Drosophila melanogaster: one gene and its partner. The gene in region 1 interacts genetically with each later gene. Each region holds a gene or a part of one and is shown on either strand. Other genes may lie near its edges.

What was found.
Region 2: of prg (region 1) and fwe, changing one enhances a phenotype caused by changing the other (phenotypic enhancement), as found in Drosophila melanogaster (one study listed by BioGRID).

What each region holds. Positions count from the first base shown.
Region 1 is NT_033779.5:8,461,817-8,467,194, reverse strand, and holds prg (piragua), read right to left. Parts: upstream 2,708-5,378; 5' UTR 2,586-2,707; coding exon 2,421-2,585; intron 2,363-2,420; coding exon 851-2,362; 3' UTR 501-850; downstream 1-500. UniProt on the Drosophila melanogaster protein: May be involved in transcriptional regulation. The function of this protein is unclear.
Region 2 is NT_037436.4:15,809,974-15,818,991, forward strand, and holds fwe (flower), read right to left. Parts: upstream 6,438-9,018; 5' UTR 6,304-6,437; coding exon 6,301-6,303; intron 6,084-6,300; coding exon 5,963-6,083; intron 3,654-5,962; coding exon 3,446-3,653; intron 3,381-3,445; coding exon 3,273-3,380; intron 2,925-3,272; coding exon of another isoform or gene 2,786-2,924; exon of another isoform or gene 2,269-2,785; coding exon of another isoform or gene 2,235-2,268; exon of another isoform or gene 1,247-2,234; intron 876-1,246; coding exon 731-875; 3' UTR 108-730; downstream 1-107. Other genes in the region: CkIIalpha-i1 (CKII-alpha subunit interactor-1), read left to right, coding at 7,075-7,200, 7,259-8,365. UniProt on the Drosophila melanogaster protein: Transmembrane protein which mediates synaptic endocytosis, fitness-based cell culling, neuronal culling, morphogen gradient scaling, and calcium transport. Regulates synaptic endocytosis and hence couples exo- with endocytosis.

The DNA of each region.
Region 1 (5,378 bases):
CATACACATAAATCGCCTGCGAAGTGACCCTTGGCAATGGCGAAGGTAATTGCGTACTTACCGCTCTCAGCGGAACCTGAACCTAACCAAAACCAAGCGAACCGTAAGGTGGATTCGTATTCCCTCGATTGCGTGCCCGTTTCGGGAATAGATTTATCGTCTCGTTTGAAATCCGCACTTTATTTATGGTAGCTTGGCCACATTTCTTTGCGGATCTCCCACTCCAATACTTATTATTTATTATTCTATCAAACGTTACGTTACACTGTCAGCACCAGCACAATTCACTACGCGCACTTCGAGGCGATTACGAGATTTCGAGGCGATCAAGATCCGAGAGCGCTGGTCGAGAGGCACTACCGTACGGGGCGAACTCAAGAAAGAATCTGCAGCGGTGCAGTTGCTCTGAAGATTTCGGAGAAGACCTTCTTCGTATCGGACAACGTGCAACTTGTTGCACGCAACATGTTGGTCTGAGACGACTGCTAATACAAAATGTTCAAATACCTTACTTGATATTTTATTTATATATTAAGTAAACCTACTTTAAATAGGTTTAACATAACTTAACTTTAAGAAGTTTTTTATAGAGCAGAAAACTTTCTTTAATATCTTATGAAAAATAATATCTTCACAAAGTCATACGATCTCGAAGAAAACCGTTTCAGATTTGGCCTTTTATTAAAAACCACTAAGCTACATTTTGGCAGACAATAGTCAGATGACTTAAACTATACAGATTCATTAACACCAATGGATTCTATGTTGACCTGAACGACTAAAACAGCCTTGACCTACAAAACTTTTCCGACCTATCAACTAAGCTTATTAAACATGTAAATATGTTGTTCTATTCCTCGGGACGAGTCTCGCTGTAGAAGCCCAGATTCATTGTGGGAATCATGTTGCTGTAGAACGACAGTTCCGCTGCCGAGGGACGCACTAGCTGGGGATCCTGAACTAGCGGAGCCGTCATAGCCACTGGAGCCTTTTCGGCCATTTTTAGGGGTAAAATAGCAGCCTCTTGAGCCCGCTGGGCCATCTTGTGCTGCAACTGATGGACTTTGAGGTGATTCTCCAGCTCAATTTGATGCAGGAAGCTAATGCAACAGATTCCGCACGTAAAGCTGGGACCATGAGCCTCTAGCTCATGGCGCTGCAGTTGCTCGCGTCGGTTGAAACCTTGATTACATGTCTTGCAGGCGAACAGCGAGTCCATGTGAAGAGCTTGATGGCGTTGCAGGTCCCTCTCCCGTTGGAAAGTTCGATCGCAGACATCACAGTGGTAATAGCGTGAGTTTTTGGTTTGTGCGGCAGCCTTTTGTTTAGCCTGCAACGCCTGCTGCTGCAGATCACCCTCCATCGGGGGAATTAGACCCATTTGCTGCTGCTGCTCCATGTCCCGCCTGGTATGGACTTGCTGGTGGGCTATTAGCTTATCCCTGCGCGAAAACGAGTAGGGACAGCGTCCACATTGGAAAGCCTTTACCTCTCCGTGCGAACGTGTGTGGCGCATCATTTCCACAGCCGTCTGGAAGGATCGCGGACACTGCTGGCAAACAAAGGGCTTGACACCGCTATGAATGCGCATGTGCTTGGTCAGATTTGTATTCCGCGAGAAACTCTTGGAGCAAACGTTGCATGTGAAGGGCCTCACGCCAGTGTGCACGATTGTGTGCTTTTTAAGATCGGAGCGGCGCACAAAACCCTTCCGACAGTGAGCACACACATACGGACGGTCCGGATCATGCAGTGTCTTTATGTGCGAAATCAAAGCAGGCCGGGTAACCAGCTTGATGTTGCAAAAGTTGCAGCAGTACGGTGCGTTGGGATCGTGTGCAGCCAGCTCGTGCTCTTGACACTCGGCGGGCAGAGTGAACCCAAGATCACAGTATTGACAGAGGAACGCTCGTTTTGGCCGTGCCTCCGTGGTGTTGGCGTTGTTGGCAACGGACTGTTGAGCCGCCATCTGGGCCGCATCCATGCCCAGTGGCATGTCGACGTCTTCGCCGTTCTGGCCATCTTCCTCGTCCTCCTCATCGTAGTCTTCCTCCTCCTCCTCATCATCGTCGTCATAGTTTTCGTACTCCCCATCGGAGCCGAGTGCGAATTCCTCTTCACTGCTCTCTGCCAGATTCTCTGGATCAACTTCCACAATAATGCAGCCCTCCTCGGGTACGAATACTCCGGGGTTGCCATTCAGGCCTGGACGGTGCTTCGGATGATCTTTAATCATCTCCTTCAGCTGCTCCTGCAGGGACTGTTCCCGCTCCTGCATTCCTTTTCGCAGCTCGAATGCCTCTTCGAGGATCTCCAGACACCTTGAGCAAATGAGCTCCGACAAACATTCGTTGCGATCGTACTGTAGGTGGAGAAGTTATTCATGCACTTTTTCCATGGATTATAAATGGCCCACTCACCTGAACGCTCCAGAGACTCTTGGAAACCTCTGCAATGGACACATCCTTGCAAAACTGCACGGTGTCATCGAAAATGTTTAGCGAGTTGGGATCCGTATTATGGTGGCACAGGCGACAAGTGCTCACATCCTGATCCTGGGTCATGCTGATATCCGATGTATGCATTCTTCAATCATATGCATTTAAGCCGGGATTGCAATAAATTATCCAATTGTTTAAGCAAACAAAAGCCACACCGGTAGCAAATAAAACGCGTTGGTCAATGGCCAATCTACCACGATAGTATCGATATGTCGCGAAATTAAACAACATGGTCCAATCGATTGTCGGAGGAAATCGATAAGCCGCTGCACAGTGGGTTACTTAATTGAATTATAGGAATTTTTGAATATTTGAAGTTTTTAAATTAAACAATTTTGTGTTTTATTAAAGTTCAGATTTGTACCTTTCCATTTTAAAATACTTTTACTAAAATTGTAACAAAGCCATATCTAATACGCAAAATAAACGTCAGCATCTTTGGTAGCAAAAACGAAACTACTTATGTGTAATTCTTTGGGGTTGAAGTTTGATGATGCTCAAATTCAATAAAACGCAGTTTCTTTCTACACATTAAAAATTTGTAAAGCTGTTTGCATAAAATATAAATTATAAGACTTATAAGGCTCGTGTCACACTTTTAAATCAGAAATGCACTTACGATTAAAGCAGTGGGCGGCAGGTACCTAATTGATGCGTACCTATGTAGGTACACGCCGTGAACACGCGAAGCGAGAGCTTTTTCAATTGCCCGCGGACTCTTGATTAAAGCGGAGGTATTTTTCGAGTGCCGGCACTCTTTCGGCGAAAGCGGATGATTGTTTAAAAATCTGTGCGTACGCGCGTATATTCCTTTAACTAATCGGGATTGATTGCTTGCGCGGTTATTGCTTAATTGCAGTGAGATTTTTGGTTCTATTGAAAGTGGCTAATGTTCGTTTAGTGGAATTTATTGCACTGCAGATGCTGCAAATTATACTAGAACACACACACACACATCGGCAAAACAACTGTTACGCCTACGCAGCAGCGGCAACAACAACAACAACAACAGCAGCAAGGGAATTAGCAGCAACAATTTTCCACCCATAGAGGGAAATAACTGTTCCGTGAGTTTATACAATTTGGGCTGTATTTGTTGTTTTCCACCCACGTACTTTTTGTCTTTATTATGCTCCTGCCGCTTCTCCTTCTTTCGCTCCTTTTCCCTACCCACCTCCCCTCTTCCACTTCTTTTCTCTCCCATGCGGTTAGTGTGTTATTCCCGTCCTTAAGGAATAAAAGCAACAGCAACCCCGTGTACATTTATTGTTCTCTCCCCCGATGCACGGAGAGAAATTTGATTTTGATGTGTAATCAGGTTCAATTTTATTATTTAGATTATATGCATAAAATGATGAACTGATTGGACCACATTGCTAAAGGAAACACAGGGTTTTTTTTTTACAATTTTGAATCAACTACTCCAAAAACATAAACACCGTATGAATGATGATCGCAAATTTCAATGGAATAGTTTTTTTTTTCTGTGTACCTATCATCCTGTTAACCCAAGCTTTGCCCTCGCACCCTGTAGTTCTCATGAGTGTTAAATTTTCTGCCACCAAGTCCCTGTTAATTTTTGGTTATTGGGATTCCTCACTTTTCACAGTTGCCGTTGCGCGTATGAAAATGAATTTGTGCATTTATAATTCATAAATAGGACTATAAAAAAGAGAATTTATAATTTCATGAATTTACCGAAATTGGGGTCTTTAAAATGCGTCTATTAGCCTATTTAGGTAGTGATTTGTAGTGAGTTAGTAGTGAGTAGAACGAAAGCACTCTAGCGTATGCACTATCTGCCCTAAAAAGTTTGAACATAAAGATAAAATATAATTGCTTAAGTGAAATAAGCGCAAAGATTGCATTCGAGCTTAATGGTCTGATTAAAGTCCCTAGAAGCAAATCTATATGATATCACCACACCGAATTAGTAAATATCCTTACCCTACGAGACTTCTGCTAACTTAATATTTACACTTGCATACAATTACCCCTAAACATAGGGAACATGCCATTTGCCGGCCACATGAGAGTGACTTCCAATTTTGTGTACAATGAAAAACAACTGAAGATTGCTGTCCTAAACATTCCACTCGGCAATTAAGTGCTCGGCAATGATCATTCGATGAGGAAAGTCCAATCAGCAGATCAAATGAATCGGTGCCGTGACTCAAGCTAGGTCTAGTTCTACAGCTTAGAATCACTCTCCCCGTTGACTTTGAACTTGACTTGAAACGCTGACGTTAAATTGACCTGAACGGCAATTGGTGGCTGTGGGGGAGGTCCAGACCTCATGTCCGGACTTAAGTTAATTTCCGCGGCCGCGTCACATGCGTAGCAACTGTGTAACAAAACCATGCCCATAGTTTCCCAGCGTGAAATCATGCCACAATCTTATCAGTAGCCTAAAGCTTATGCTGCCTGAATGAATCGATGTTCCGCTGTCGCACACCGAACGCTTCGCTGAGATTGTCGTGCGTCGAACTGATACTGATAATGGGTGTCAAACCATTTACCCCCTTCGCAATATTAAAAGCAGGCGATGACGGTGGACATTGTAAACAAAAAGTCAAACATGTGCAGTAGATAAATTGATTTTAGCACACTGTCAGAAATGTAAATTTAAAACTTAACCCGTATGAGTACAAAGTGTTTTTCTAAAATTTCTTCATTTGCAATCCAGTAACTTGTAGGCTGTAAAACCATGTCGGTAATTTTCTTGTCATTCAACCCTCTAGAATAATCACAGTAAAATCAATTCCACAAATGGAGCTGAATATTTCTCTTACAATAAATGTAGTTTCCCATATCATTGTTTATTTTTCGTTGTGTACCAAGAACCCAGTAAGCGCAGGGGTATAAACTACGATAAAT
Region 2 (9,018 bases), on another chromosome or scaffold:
GCGTAATCTGATTTTTTATTTCCCCCAAAAGATACCGCAGCTCAGGAATCATCCAAAAAGCATGCCCCACAATAGTTACATTTTAGCGATGATTACAACGATGATTTGTATAATTAATTTTATTTAACATAATTTAAAGTATCTTTAATTCAATTTTAATATGGTTTACATACAATATTTATAGTGTTATTTGCATTAATTTAAACATTTTAGTATTATGCATTTAAATATATTTAAGGTATATTTAAACTATGACTAAACATAAATTTTACATGATCTTTTTTTTCACCTCGCTAGTGATGTCGTTCAATAATTTATTTGCAATTTCTACTTAGTTGAAACCAAATGTTTTGGAATGATGGGACACAGGCAACACAATTAATTAATAGGATACAGAAAACGCAAAACGCTTTTAAAACCAATATACATTTACATACATTTAATACAAAAATGGTTTAAAATTTAATGATCTTGTTTTGGGTGGCTTCTTTCTGATCGAGTAATTTGGATTGCTCTAGAAAGAGATCAGAGCTAATCGGATTTAAAAACTTTTGTTATCCATTTGCGTTGGTTATTGAACAATCAGAAATTGCACATGATTATGTTTATGATTGCCTGCCGATGTTCTCTTGGTTAGGTTTGCCCTTCAAATGTTGCGTTTTGAGTCTTGTTTTCTCACGGCACACCCAGCTCTTCGATTCCTCGAAATCCCGATCAGCTAGCTTCTGAATCACACATTGCTGTCCGTGCCCACGGCACCGGTGAAGGAGAAGGGCTGGGCGTTGTTCACAATCCCCGCTCGATCGTTGGTTTGGGCAGGTGTGTTTCCTCCGAAGGTTTGCTGAGCAGCTGCCCGCATGTCCTCGGCGGATGCTCTGTTGAAAAAGTAAAAGGATTACATTAGTCTTTAGAGTACAAAACATTGGCAAATGGTTTCCAAAATTATACAATTTACAAGTGCTCAACTAAAAACTGTGACTTTGCCTACATGAAACCAAAGGGTCGATAGAACAGCCAGATATTTCTAAAAGCTTTTCTAAGACAAACAAAAAAAAACTAAGGCAGCATGAATACAGTATACAAGTCTTACATAAATACCGGGAACTACAGGAACTAATCTAAATCAATTTCATTCTTCGTGTGCACAAGTAAATAAATACGTCATCAATCATTGACAAAATCTACGAAAAATATACAATTTACAATCGTTAGCAATTACAAAAAGGAAAGCTCAAAATGTATTTGCCTGTAGTGATCTCTTGGACGCAGCAAAGTTCAGAACTCGTTAACGTAAATCGTATATTGTTGTTAATCGCTGTTGGCCGTCGTTGAATGTACTTGGCTTTAACGGCAGGATTTTGGACAGTTTTCAGGTGGCATGTACAAAGTGTTTGATATTTGAATCATGCGCGTTCAAATTCTAACGAAATATTTTACATGTTTATGTTTTCATTTTTAGTGTTGCGTTCATTGATTAACAAAGTTCAACAAATTAATTATGATTCGTGATTACTTTAGGTGAGACTCTTAGTTGCTGGCGAAGGCTAAATTGTAATAAATTATCGCGAGTTTCTTGTAAATAATGTATATTTAAAGTTATAATAATTAAACTATACAATAACTTATGCGTAAAGTAAACAGATTTTGGAATGCTTCTGTGGTAAGAATGCCAATAGGCAACAACAAAAATAATTTAAAACGTTTTTCTCAGACTTTCAAAGTTAAACGATTGGAATAAACTCTTATAAATAACTTAGGTATACTAAAAAAAATAAGCATATACTTCTAGCAAACAAGAAATCATACGAAACCCGAAAACGAAATCCTATTAACCAAGTAATTGTCTAAAAAGAAAACCGTCTAACAATGCATCAAATTGAAATGGACACTTTTCGGTTACAACATTTAAAAAATATAACTGGTAAATTCTCAACTTGTTGTATATATATATATATATATATATTCTATCTGTATGCTTGATTATGTTCAATTTCAAATTGTGACTATCCCGCGAGCAAATCGATTCTCAAATAACGTTTAACATTTAATTTTATGGTTTACATCGAAGCAAAGCATATAAAGTTAATTATTTCTGAGTTGTACATATTGCTCTAGGTTCTCGACATTCACTTGTCCATATCATCAGTGGCTTTCCATTAGCATTAGCTGTGTGTGAGTGTGTGGAAGCTGTGGTTAACTTATAGGTTCCGGTTCCTCTTGCATTCGGTTAGCTTTCAAATATAGTTTCTCACTAAAAATATATGCTTGCTGCAGAGTTTGACATGTGAGTTACGTTATTGTTATCAGTAGTTGTTCTATGCATATTATATATATTTAACTGTAGTTCTTAACAACACCAACCGCTCGACGAAAGATATTAAAAAATTTGAATACGAATATAGTACGAATGCCATGCAAAACGGGGGGTCGAATGACGGAAATGCATTTGCCCAAAATATACTTTGATTACTAACACTCTCGGTTTCAACAGTAATGAGAATTTCGTTAAATTTTCTTTTGTATTTGGTGGGGTGTTCTGTATACTAGTTCTCTGATGCCCTACAATGCTGCTTTGTAGTGATTTTCCTTTTCACTTAGTTGCATTTATCCTCGGAACGAACACTAAAAACTAGGCGCCGTAAAATATTTGTTACTCGATCAATTCTTGCATCGTTCGCATTTCTAGTGGAGTATTTTGTGTGTGAATCTGTGTATCTGAGTATCTGTGTCTTTATCTGTATCTGAGTGTGGTTTTTTGGCAGTTACTAATGGCGCGGCTAGGAATTTATGTGGGGCGCCAGACATCGGGGTCTTCCATGAGTGTGATATGCTGATCGCCGCCCATCTGCATCTGACCGCCCGCCTGACTGCCGGCCATCTGTGTGGGCGATGTGGCAGCGGCGGCCATGTCCTCTCGAGAAGCTCTACGTGTTAGTTTATAGTTATTTAAGCGTTTTCACAGTGGCAAGCACATCGTGGGAATATAGAGAAAACATTTTGTTTCGATTAGCAAAAATGGCTTAGCAAAACTAACTAAATCGCTCGCTCCTCCGTTCGCTTAGCAACTAAACTAACCCAATAATCGAAGTCGTCTTTAAATTCAGAAATTCACCATAAAGCTTGTTTTTTAAATTCAGATTAATGTTTTAGGAACACATGAGTGCCTAATCAATGCAGTTTGATTTGAATCCAGCTATTTCTTTTAAAAATTCTGCGGCATAGCTGCAATTTTCTGAATTTAACTGCGATTTTCCGAGGTGCCCCATACTCACTTCTTGCCTAACGCCATCATGCCGTAAACCACGCCAGTGCCAAAGATCAGCCCACTGCCGAATAAGCTGGCCAGTCCAAAGCACAGAATAATGGGCGGAATGGCCATGCTGAAATGGAAAACATAATCTTTAGGAAATATTACAATTTGTGACAAATTTCTTTGGTTACTCACGCAATGTAGAGCCCGGCACGGAAGTACAAGGGCTTAGATTCCACCTTTTCCGCGATCTCGTTCACCTGCCCAAAGCAGACGAAACAGCAGGGAGCCTCCAAGAGCATCACCACAAATCCTGCCACCATTTGAAGGATGCCAGCCACCAGGCAGGATACGCTGAGCGTGATGATGGAGAACACATTCCACAGGCCGAAAAGAATGGCAACTGGAAGGAAAACATGGGATAAAAGATGTTAGTTATGCAATGTTATAATCTACTAATAATGAATATTTTCCTTGGCTATTATGAATTTGCTCCTCAATCTACTGTTTCCATGTAGCTCAAGTTACTGCTTACTGCTAACTTCTATTGATTTTTTATTATTTAAAAAAATTACATTCCTATCATATGTTGTATTTAATGTATGCAGAGGTCAAGCTATTTTTGTAATTTCCAATAAAAGGCGTATATCTTTATCGCTAAACACTGACCAAAAATACCAATATCATACTCCCACTAGACCCATTATGTCGGGCCAACCGCCCCGTATGGTAAAAACGAGGAAACGCAATCTAATCTACAACGCTGACTCATATTGTGCCAATTTCTAACTTTTTATGGCCTTCTCTTTTATTTAAAAATTTTTTAAACAAAAACGAGCCACAGAAGCGTGACAAACAGCATGAAAAACAGTTGGGCAAATTGTTAGTTGATAGTAAGTAGTTCAGTTCACAGGTAGAATTCACTAAATTCCATTCGATATCGCTAGAGGGGCGTACAAGTGAATTACATTAAAATATTTTATCAGCTGCTTTTGGTCTATGATAAAAGCATAAACAAAGAGTAAACAGCACATACGACTATAATTCGCAGATAAACAAATGCCTGGGGCGTGATAATTGGATAAAAGTGGCTGGTATAAATGCAGCAAAAGATCACGAGGAAAGGTTGAATTCTAAAATTCTAAATACATGAATAATAAAATAAAAAAGATTTCACGATTTAGGCCACTTTTAATATTTAGCTTCGCAAGTTAGGTTTTTCCTTTTGCGAAATCGGATCTGGGTTTTGAGGTTATTGCGGTTCTTAAAGCCAGGCAAACTGACCCAACCTGGGGAAGAAGTCGTTGTGCTCCACGGAACGGCTTATAAAATTATTTATTAATCATAGACTTTGGTTTTATTTTACGCAAACAAAACCGGTTCATTGTGGAAGCCGGACGAGTGAGTTGTGATCCCTTAATTGAGGTATTCAGCTATTTATATTGATTTTAAGTGGATGGTGTTCATTTGTTGGGCAATTTCTGCATTTCACTAAGTGAGAATCATTGCCAGAATATCCAACAACAAAAGATGCTTTTGTACAGAGAAAAAAAAGATGTTAAAAACGTTTTGAATAAATAAATATTCCTTTGGTTGATCTCTAAAAATTCCAGGAATAATATGTCAATGAGGCATATTGTTTCTGTGGAATTTTCATTTATATACATATGTATGGTTTAGATTGATTTTTAAAATAATTTTTGTAAGTATTCTAACGACACGAAACCCAATAGCATAATCAAAACCCCAACTGCGATTAAAAAGATTGACTTGGACTTAATCAAAGTAGATCACGACTACTTAAAAGTTTATTGAACTGCATTTTTTTATGCATTCAGAAGGTGATGATGAAATTACAAAAAAGATGCCCCAATTGAATTTAAGATACGCATAGACTTATTACGATATTGCACTTATAACACGTGTGGCAGCCTAAGGGTTAAGGTTAACTGAGTCCAGATAAAAAAGCAAATACGCAAACGGGTAAAACAAAGTTAAAAATAGAGATGGAAAGAGGGAAGCTGCTGATACAACAAAAGGCAGTGCGAATTTCGATTGAATGGGCACAGAGAATTACATTCGATGCGGAAAGAAAAAGCAGAGCGCCAAACTTGACACAGAAAAGCTCCTATACATACTTGCAATTTCCTACACACGAAATAAAAAGTTATCAAACGAAATGGTTAGATAAGAGATATTAAGTGCAGGAAGCCCACTTAGTTAAGTGGGTGAATGTATTATTTTATATTTCAATAACAAAACAAAAAAAAACCTTTTTTGGACTTTGTTTTACCTTAAAATTATACGTTTCATTCTTAATTCATTTGGAAATCTCACACTTTACCCTACATTTCTTTGATTTTGATGTAAAAATAAACTTTAGCTACATACATAACTAGTATTTTTTTCAGTGTGTGAATTTGTGTATCCTTTTTGTGTTGTCTTTTCCATGTTTCCTTTCTCCGCTCTCACTGCCTCTCACCTCTCACTCACCCTCTCTTGTTTTTCCTTTATCAATGTCAGAGAGCGTGCGTACACACACGAACACAACTGCACACCTACACCTACGAATAGATAACAGCAACAACAACAAAGGGTGGTACACAAAAATCGATGCAACATATTTTTGGGCCGCCCAATGTCACGGATGTTTTTCCCAACTTTTTAATGTGTTAAGCTAGTAGATAATTTATTATATATCCTACAACTTACAGAAGGCGGCCACAATGCCCAGCAATCGACTTCCATATTTGAGATACCACGGCTGCTCCGGTCCAATTGGATCTTGTTGATTCGGCCGTGCCAGCAGACCCGTTATCTTTTCCGCAAACGACTGATCCGGGAAATAGACGGAAATAGGGAGAAATCGAAATGCAATTAGGAAAAATCGAAGCACAATTTTGTATTGTGACGCGGCGGCCGCTTTTTTTAACACGCACACATTGCCACGACAAAAACACACACACCAGTTAACGCGCGGCTCACATGCATACACACTGACACCGCTCACTGCGTCAGCATTTTATCTCAGTCAATCAACAACTACCTACCATGGCTATTTATTTAGTTAGTTAGCTAGGCTTAAACTAATTCGAACAATTACTATTTGCACTTTTCACGTCACACGGAACGAAAAAAATCCTGTTGTACTTTGCGTTCTGCTGCACGCGAACCGAACTAGATCGCGATTCTGATGGCCGATAGAGCCTATCGATACTCGGAAGTTATCGGAGGCGAATGGAACTAGTTTCCTGGTATCCTGGATTCACTACAACATTTTTTAATTTTTAAATTTATATTGCAATTAGTCAACTTCTTACTTTTTTCATAATTATTTGTATTTTCTTGTTTTGGGTTTCGAACATTCAAATAATTACACAAATACTTTTTTAGGTAATGAAAAAACTACAGTCTAAACTTGTAAATTGGTTTTTGTTCGATTATGATATTAAACAATATTTTCCGGTTCTCTTAGCAAATGTTAGGCAAATTTGTGTACATTGAAAGCTTTTATACCGTTCAATATGCAGGCGGCATCTTTAGAAAATTCACTTCGATCTCAGATCGTTCACCTAACTCCTAAATCTGAACAACTATCTCTATTCAAATCAATCAAAATTAATTTATTTTTAGATTTGCATAAATTTCTAAGTCCGTAAATTAAAAATCGATTAATTCAATTGCCTATCGACATTAAGCAGCTCTGCATTGTATCGATAAATTAAACATCTATCGATAGTATCGATTAGCAGACATCGAAGAAATCATTGATTACTTGCCTTTTATTAACTTGGTTTTTGGACCTCCTCGAAAATATCAGCAAAATGACAGAAGCGGAAATTTGCAAACTATGCAAGGATAACCGAGCAATTGAGATCGATCTCGAGAAGCCCAAATTCAAATCGGCCAATAAACTGCTGCAAAGACTTTTCGATTGGTACAAAATTGATGTAAGTTCTGAAAGTGAGTCCAATGGATGTCAAATGCAAAGAAACCCACGTATTTTAGGCTGCTATCCTGGGGGAAAATTACTGCATTTGCGAGCCCTGCTTTGGAGAGACTTTGCGCATAAGCGAATCCCTGGAGAAGTGGGGCACGGCCCAGGACGAGTTTCACCGGAGGCCCATCGAAATAGACGACTCCACTGCATTTCAGATCAAGTTGGAGGTGACATCAAACAAAGAAGAGGTAGAAACGGAAAAGAATGATGAGGAGAATTCTTTCGATCAGCATATCGCGGAGCCAGTGAAGGAAGATCCATTGGAAAAAAACGAGCATATGGAGATCGTAGTCGAAGAATCTTTGAAAACCGCGTCCGTGGATTTCTTCAGCGTGGGATTGTCACGCGATGGCTTGGCAGTCACCAAGTTCTTCAAGGACAAGACCCAAGCCACTCGGATGCTGTGCACCTGTTGCGGCCATGTGCTCGAAATCCTGACCCACATACGCATGCATTCTTGTAAACCCCGCCCGAATCCGGTCTACTATTGCCGCGATTGTGGTTCAGAGTTCCACAAACTACACGAACTACATGAGCACATGAAGACGATGAAACACAACAAGACCATGTGCGGCGCAAAGGATTTGGAATTTCTGTGCCTCAGATGCAACCAGATATTCCCACGCTATTTCGACGTTATCCGCCACGAGAACAGCGTTCACAATGTATCCGATTTCATCTGCGTGGAGTGCAACATGTCCTTCGCTAACCAAGGATCCTACAGGAGGCACACGAGGAGCCATAAAGTCAAATTCACGCAGCAGCGATTTTATGAGTGCCCATATAAGGACTGCACCTCAAGTTATCGAGTGTGGGCGCGCTTAATGTCGCACATGAGTTCCCACGGCCTCTTTTCTGGATTCAAAAGCAAAGTGCCGTCTACCCAACAGGAACGACGTCTTCTGGAGGGCAAGTTTATGACGCTGGACCCCATGAAACGGGTTGAACCCGATCGCCGAAAGTTGCCATACCGCAAGAAAAGCTTTTACGCTAAGGCAGATTTCCCGGAATCCCCGACGAAATGTACCAACGGAGGAGAGTTCATCAGCCTGCCCAAGAAAATTTCCCTGCAGAAGGGAAAATACATCAATCTTTCGGACAATTCAAGACCTTAGTTACCAACTAGGCTAGCAAATAATGGTAATCTTGAAAACTGATTAAATTGTATAAATTAATATTTCCACTACTGTGTGTATATTATTAATTCTTAGATAGCCAATTTTAGTATAACTTTTTTGTTATTAAGAAATTTACCCCCGCGTTGTATTCTTTACAATTGTGAAAAAAGGCGGATAAAACATACTTCCGTTTTATAATTTCTCTTCGTGGATAAACGTTGAGATGAAGTGTTTTTAAACCCAATAGAAATAAACAATCAGTTTTAAAACTTGGTACATCAATTTATTGCCGGAAATTTTTGGGGGGAAAACGTTGGAAATATATATTGCCACAAATAAGTTATTTTATAATCTTTTTACGTTACAATTGTTCTTGATTGAAGAGTTAACTTGGATTTTGTATTTGCTTGTTTTGGCATTAAATTCTACAAATTGTATTTTTGATATCGTATGATTTTGAAGGAGGTGCTTACACTAGAATAGAATTGCTCAACCAAAGAATCTGGATTACTTTCCACTTTATTTTCAGGAAATCTATTCTTGTGCATCCACGTCCTCGCTTTTGTTTTGGACGTGTTTACAGATTTGTTTTTTTTTTTTTTTGGTTTGTCTATGTTCGATACAATGGTTAAAATGCATAGCAAATTTAG